Linked DNA regions of Canis lupus familiaris. The protein of the gene in region 1 purifies or fractionates together with the protein of each later gene. This does not show direct contact. Links are inferred from orthologs where the notes say so. Each region holds a gene or a part of one and is shown in the gene's direction. Other genes may lie near its edges.

Evidence for each region.
Region 2: the proteins of EWSR1 (region 1) and DDX17 purify together in Homo sapiens (affinity purification with mass spectrometry; 3 studies listed by BioGRID, with this or other methods). This does not show direct contact. The link is inferred for Canis lupus familiaris from reciprocal best matches to the Homo sapiens genes EWSR1 and DDX17.

What each region holds. Positions count from the first base shown.
Region 1 is NC_049247.1:23,000,198-23,003,697, forward strand, and holds part of EWSR1 (RNA-binding protein EWS), read left to right. Parts: intron 1-620; coding exon 621-807; intron 808-2,792; coding exon 2,793-2,960; intron 2,961-3,500. UniProt on the Homo sapiens protein: Binds to ssRNA containing the consensus sequence 5'-AGGUAA-3'. Might normally function as a transcriptional repressor. EWS-fusion-proteins (EFPS) may play a role in the tumorigenic process.
Region 2 is NC_049231.1:27,281,383-27,285,514, forward strand, and holds the start of DDX17 (probable ATP-dependent RNA helicase DDX17), read left to right. Parts: upstream 1-1,332; coding exon 1,333-1,473; intron 1,474-1,811; coding exon 1,812-2,104; intron 2,105-4,132. UniProt on the Homo sapiens protein: As an RNA helicase, unwinds RNA and alters RNA structures through ATP binding and hydrolysis.

The sequences.
Region 1 (3,500 bases):
AAATTAAACACATCTTCCCTGGAACTTCAGTTTCCTTTAATTAAACACGAACTGCCCGTGTTGGAATGCTTGGGACTGAAAGCAAAGGAATTCCAGATTACAAGTTTTAATGCTAAAACTGTTACTACCTGGATCATTATTTTTAGCTATTTTAGCAGTGTGTCATTGCCTCTTCCCTTTCTGGGACATTTTATTCTGCTTGAGAGTTTTTTGGGATACTCAACTAGTTAAGAAAATCGTTAAGAAGGCCTGCTAGCAAAACCAATACAGAATCAGCAAAAGCAGACGTTTTTCCTATTGGATCCAGAGGGGAGGTGCAGCAGGAGAAATCTTGTTTTTTACAACGCTTTCTGTGCAGACTCTGGTTTCTCCCTTTCTGTTAGGTGTGATGTTAGCGCAAAAGAGAGTGCTAACTCTTTTCAGAATGAAAACTGGGTACTTCCAGACAACTTAGGCTTTTTAAATATTGGTTTGTTGCTACTCATACTGGAGGGGAAGTTTTTAAAGGGGCTCAATATTGTGATGGTTTAAAGTAGGTGGTTTACAAATTGTTCTTTTAACAAGTGTCTAGGCAGCTCTCTGAGGAGCCAGAAATCTGATGTAGTTCTCCTTTGTTCTAGGTTATACTACTCCAACTGCCCCCCAGGCATACAGTCAGCCTGTCCAGGGGTACGGCACTGGTGCTTATGATACCACCACTGCTACGGTCACTACCACCCAGGCCTCCTATGCAGCTCAGTCTGCATATGGCACTCAGCCTGCTTACCCAGCCTATGGGCAGCAGCCAGCAGCCACCGCACCTGCAAGGTAAGGCCACACTCCCCTAGTTCTGAGAGCACATCAGCTTGTTTCAGGAAAGAGAACAATTACACTGTATCCAGGACTTCATTCCTTTTCTTTAGTGGTTACTCTTAACATACTTACTTTTAGATGGTTGAGTATGTTCTTAAAGTCATCACAGGAATGCTCTAGAGAACACACCACAGATATATCATTCTCCATTTAGTAGAAAAATGGTGCTGTCCAGGGGCCAAGATGAGGAATGTCACTGACCAGTTTCTAGGTACCTTAGTCTAGTTTCAGAAGAGTGATCTTTTGGGATAGGAAGAGACTATTATATTTACTTTACCAAACCCAGAGAAAAACGGAGTGTGTGTTTCCCTTCACAACAGAACTACTGATAGAATTGCACTTTTGATTTTATTGACCTTGTAAATTGATAACAACTTTCTCTTTGGGAAAAACTTGGCAGTTTACAGTACAGGGGAGGTGGGAAGCATACACTGCTATCTGAGTTAAAGGAATTGACATTTTTTCTGTATTCTGTAGTGGCTTGGTCATTTAAATATCACAGGCAAGTATATATCTTAACTGGGTACCCTGCTTTGAGGTGAATATTTGGACAAACAGATTTCATACTCCATGACTAATTAGCAGGTAAACAGTGCTGATTATTACTTAACAGAAGATTTCAGGTCTTTGCTTTAGGCAATGCACATAGGTGGCTTCTGCATACAGTCTTGAAGGAACATTGAATTCTGATTTGAAAGAAGACTTTTTAGGGAATAAACAAGAAATCAACTTGTAACCTAGACTTTTTGCCTACTGTGTAGAGGTAAGAAATTAGCTCTGGCAAACACTCATGAAATTACTTCTAAAAGTGCACAGTGAGTAATCAGAGCTACTTGGTAGTTTACATATGCTGGACAACCTGTGCAGTAGGTAGATTAAACTAATGGATTCCTGTAAAGCTCCGTTTCAGTTGACCTAGGCATTTCAGAATGTTTTCAACTATTTGAAAGCCCATTTGATGATCATTGCCACGGTATATCCAAGCCATAGCAGGAGTGTGGGGGTTATTTATTGATTTTTATAAAATAATGCTTTTGGTTTTTTTTTTTTTTTTTTTTCCCCTTGATTTTCAATCCTTACACTTTAAAACTGCCTCATGATCAGTGTCAGCAACTCCTTTTTCCACTAGAAAGAGGGGGCTTCTGACCCATTTCAGCTCTGGAGAAACCAGTACACTTCCACATCCATCTGGTTTGCCTGCCGATTCTTGGGGGTTTGCTTAAAATAGCTCAAGCTCACTGTGCTACACTCTTGTTGCAAACTGTTAGGGCTGAGAGGTAATAGAAAAACCCTTGGGGTTTTGTTTTGTTTTTTCCTTTGGGATTGGTTTTCATTACTTAATATTTCCCAGTTCAAGGGTTGTTGGGAGCTGGGGCTGGAAGTTGGGGGATCCCTCCTCTATTCTGGTATTTCCATTATGGAGACTTATTTATGTCAGTCCAACTTAGGAAATGTATTTTCAAGTCTGCTCTTAATAAATGAGAAGTCTAAACTCATAGTAATCCAAATTTATAAGTGCCCATGAACTTCTATAAATGTTATTCTGACCTGAAACTTCAGCATTATTATTGAAGTTCCTAGTCTGTCTTCAACAGTCCTTTTTGAGTAAAAGTATTTTCTTCCCTAACAAACCACTTCCCCTCCCAGATCACTTAAGTTGTCAATAGAAAATAATCGTAACTGCCTTTGATTGCTGCTAGTGTGCAACAAATGTAACATGTTGGTATCTCATCTGTGGATGTGATTAATTCTCCCCCTTGTTAGTGTTTTCTTCCAGCAAATATAGTTGGACTGGGGCTGGGTTTGATGTAGTTCAGTTTATAGTTGTATTTACTTCCAAGCTCAATCCTAACATTGCACATTGCTCAGAGGTTTTAGCGTTCTTACCCAAAGTTTTATGGTCGAGGGAAAAAGTCTTACTTTTTTATTTCTCCTTTTAGACCACAGGATGGTAACAAACCCGCTGAGACTAGTCAACCTCAATCTAGCACAGGGGGTTACAACCAGCCCAGCCTAGGATATGGACAGAGTAACTACAGTTATCCCCAGGTACCTGGGAGCTACCCCATGCAGCCAGTCACAGCACCACCATCTTATCCTCCTACCAGGTCAGTATTATCTTTGTCCTCATGGCCAGTGAGCTAGTAGAATCACAGGTTTTATTTTCAGACTGTTGACCAGCTTCTTCCTCAGGTGAAATGAGTTCTCTGACTCTCCCAGTTATAAGGCTGACCATTCAATGTTACATTAAAACCTTTGAAGGACATTTTTTTTTTTTAAACTTCACTTTAATCATTTCATATTTAACTCAGGGGTCCATTCATGCACAAGTCTTTTAATGATTGATTGGGCCAGGGCCTTTCATCCAGAGCTCTAGTCTACAAGTCTACAGGTTTATATGGCACTGTTTTACTTAACTACCCCAGCAGCTACAATGTCTCGTTTGGGTTTCTTGTAAAGCAGAGGAAGAACTGCAGGTTTTCACACGCACATTTAATTAGAAGCAGGTTTTCAAATGAGCTATCTGAATTGTGTCTTAAAGTGTTACCCTAGTTTTGCTAGAAGTAGCACTTACCTTTTTTGCACTCAATTTCATTGGTTTACATATTAAAGTGCCTCAGATGTGGACAGGTTTGGGAGCAAATACA
Region 2 (4,132 bases), on another chromosome or scaffold:
TTTTATTATGTCACTCTAAAAACTTTATAGAGATTTCCATTTTACAGAAAGGAAAAAACAAAGTCCTTACAGCAGCCTACAAATCCTTCAAATCTCTCCCGTCTTTCCTCATTACAGCCCGCCACGGCCTTTGCATGTGTTCCTTCCTCTGCCAGCAAAGCTAACTCCCTCCCTTTAGGTCGCTGCTCAGATGTCACTGAATTAGAGAGGCCTTCCCCCAGGTCACCCCATGTAACACCGTGACATCCATACACTCCCCTCCCCCACAGACACAGAAACACTATCCCCTTTCCTCGCTTTTTCTATTTTAATCAGCAATCTTTATTTTTTAGTTAGCAATCTTTAAATAACATAAAGATTCATTGTTTTATTCCCCCCCATTGTGGTATAAAGCCCATGAGGGCAGGAACTCACGTGTCCAGTGCCCTCTGCCCCAGTGCCTAGCACAGTGCTGGGCTGATGCAGTGTTCAGCACAGGTCCAGTGGTTCCAATTGTCCATCTGCGCTACGGCCCCAAGGACCTCTGAACGGCTTGTCACCAAGCTCCTTTCCTTGAGCTCCTTTTGTCATAATTTGGGAAACATTTACAACCAAGAGACAACAGCCCCCACAATGAAGGACCTCGAATCCCGCGCCCCCGCCCCCCTCCCCCATCTGTAGAAATAAACAAAAGAGACATCAGATGAGCAGCTCGCGAGGGCCTTAGCAGCTCAACAATTCTGTGACGCTGTCTGGCCAGGTTTGTGAGACCGTCAAGCTCAGTCTGAGTGAGGAGGCAGGAAGTTGGAAACCAGCGTGGAAGGAACTGAGAGGAACATGCTCCGGCCTGGTTAAAAACACGTGCTCAGGCCTTCACCTTCTCTGTGTCGAAAGGCCACGGCTTTTAACCGTCCTCGCCCGGGGAGGGCGCTGAGGGCCTGCCAGGACCTCCCGAGGCAGCGCCGACGAACGGAGACCATGGGACCCGGGAGTCTTCCTCAACAGGGGCTCCACCTGCGTGTTGGTTCTTTGTTAGCCAACTGCGCTCAGCCCCCGACCGTGAATATTCTGCTCAGAAAACGCACTTCGGTGTGAACCAAGCGTAGCAGGGAGTGCTTTAACCTGACTGGGACCTCGTCCGCCGACCACCTCCCGAGAGAACCGACAAGGAGCATCCATCATGGCTGCCGGCAACAGCGCAGCGAGAGGCAACCGAAAGAAAATGGCGCCGGGGCGCGCGGCCGGTGACGGCAGGCCCAGGCCGGCGGAGCGACCCAGGGACGCCATCCAGGAACCCTGAAGACCCGCCTGGACCCAAGGCGCCGGGAAACCCTGACACTTCACGACTGCAATATGGAGGACGGTTATTGTGTCTGCAAACCAACTTGCACAAGGAGGCCCGTGTTCCGTCCCGCGTTCGGAACCCGGCAAAATCTTCTATTCTCCAAACAGAATGCGTTACGCACACTGCGCATCTTCGCAATAGTGGGCCGGGTAACGACGCAAAGAATGTTACGTCGCACCGGAGGCTCTTCCCCTCACCCCACCCCACGTTCTAGTTCAGGTGGCGCGAGCACTCTACGCCCGCTTCGTACTTTATTTTTCTTCTACGGACTGCAACATGTGCCGGTCTGCGCAACTGACGTAAATGGCTTCCAAGAATGCCCTTAGTACTCCGCCAAGCCCTCGGGCTATTCCAAGACGCTGTTTACGTATCGTCTCCGACGTACGTAGCGTTAAGCTGGAGCAGTCTCAGCGCCGGCCGCCATTTTGTGCAGTCGCTGGGAAGGAAGGAGACGCCTAAACCGCGGCACTGCCGGGTTTGAGCGTAGCCAAACCTACCCACAGTTTTTATAACCCCGATTCTCTGTGTTTTGCTCCCGTCTCCGACGAGAGAGGCGGCGACGGTGGCGTCTGCGACGGGAGACAGCGCGTCGGAGCGAGAGAGCGCCGCGCCTGCCGCCGCCCCAACAGCGGAGGCGCCGCCGCCATCGGTCGTCACCAGACCGGAGCCGCAGGCCCTCCCGAGCCCGGCCATCCGTGCCCCGCTCCCAGATCTCTATCCGTTTGGGACCATGCGCGGAGGCGGCTTTGGGGACCGGGACCGGGATCGTGACCGTGGAGGGTAAGGGGGGAGGGGGAGAGGGAAGGCCTCGCGTGTGCGTGGGCCGGGGGGAGGGGGAAGGTTGTTTCCTGAGGAGACCGCAGCCTGCCGCCGAGCGGGAGACCTGGAGCGGACTGCAGGCCTGGGAGCGACGCCCCCGACTCCGGGAGGCGAGGCGACCTGGGACATAATAGCGGTTTGGTGTGCGGGCCTGCGGGTGGGCCTGCGCCCCGGGATCACGGGAGACCCGGCGTGGGGGGGCGGCCTGGCGACGCCCCAGCCCCTCCTTTCGGACCGCAGTCGTGGCGGGGAGCCGGAGCGGCGGCCCGAGCGCCGCAGACCCAGCCTGGCCTCGCCTCGCCGCCCGGCTGCCGGGCCCGGCCGATTTGGGCAAGTCATTTGATCTCTCCAGGCCTCAGCGCTCATCTGTAAAACACGGATGTTCTTGCTGAGAAGAGGAGGAGGTCTCCGAGTTCGGCCTGGGAAAATCTTGACGCCAAATGGCTTCCCTTATCTTATCTGTCGCCAGAGATAACTGCTAAAGGAACTGGAAATCGAGTTGGAAACTAGACGCCAAATGGCTGATTTCTAGTTTTAAATGTATCTTAAAATCCCCTTTAGTGGTATTTCAGATAATTCGAAGGAAGCACTTTGGACAGTAAAGCAGTGGAATTGTTTGCCATCTAAATGATCTTATTTGAGGAGGGGAGGGAGGGTTTTTTGTGGGTTTTTTTGTTTGTTTTTTTTTTGGTTACTGTAGGGTTCCCTCCCACCCTGTGTTCTGTTCTTCTCCAGTTGGACTGGAGTATTAGTTGCTCGGCCTGGTTAGAAAGTTTCGATGCGATAATGCCACGGCTGAAAGTTAACAAGATTAAAGTTCTTCCCAGATACTGAGATTCAGATCTTAACATAAGTTAAAGGGAAAAGTTGCCTAAGAGATGCGAATGTTCGTGCTGTTAACTTTTTGTAATAAAGGTCTTATCTCTGGATAAATAATAATGGAACGCCAGTTATTAATATATATACATATGTGACCTTGGGCAAGATCCTGGACCTTTTTGTGAGCCTATTTTCTCAACTGAAGATGGGCATAATAATTGCCTTTACTTTGCATTGTTTTCGGGAATTGAGATCTATGTAAAATTGTGTCTTTGTGATAGGTGTTCTGTTGATATTTTCTCCAAACATTTTTGTCTTTTGCGGTTCAAATACAGAAGTCCCAGACCTCTAGTCATAAGCACCTCAATTCACTTGAATTGCCGAATAAAAAGGATTATTTTGTTTATACCTTGTTAGAAAAGAAAATATTTGATCTTAGTGTTAAATTTGGAGGGCTAGAAGTGGAATGTTTGCTTAGAGTTTCACAGTATAGCTCAATTTAGAAGTGAATTTCAGTGCAACCACTTGAGACAAAGAATTTTTGACATTACCTAGTAGAAAATGACCCAATAATTCCTTTCTTAAGCTTTGTACCCTAGACACAAGCCTAGAGAAATCATTGTACGTGTTCCCCAGCATTCATGTACAAAAAATGTTCATACCAGCACTGTTCATGAAAATATTGGGAACCACTCTTCTGTCTAGATAAAGGGTGGGTATTCATTACAGTAGAATGTAACACAACCGTGGAAGAAAAAAAAAAAAAACTTGCATCAAAATGGATGACCAGCAAACATTGAAAAAGCAAGTTGTGGTAAAAGGATACGTATATGACCGGACTCCAAAAAGCAAAAATCAAGATGGTAGTTGTAGTGGGTTTGTAAACTTGAAATAGGCACAGAGGGCTACCAAGGTACTGATCATGTTCTGTTTCTTTACCATACCATAGGTGTTTGGTTTAATACTTAATTTCACCATATACATGTTTTAACAAATTATTTGAAAAGAAGAAAAAGTAAATTACTGATCCATATTTCTACCCCATATTGACTATCAGATGACATTTTTTTTAAAGCTTTAAACTTTTCACACAAAATGGCACTTTTTCATGATGTTTGTGTCCTAATTCTACATTTACCATGAAATTGCATTTATGATTTTGAGTTACTA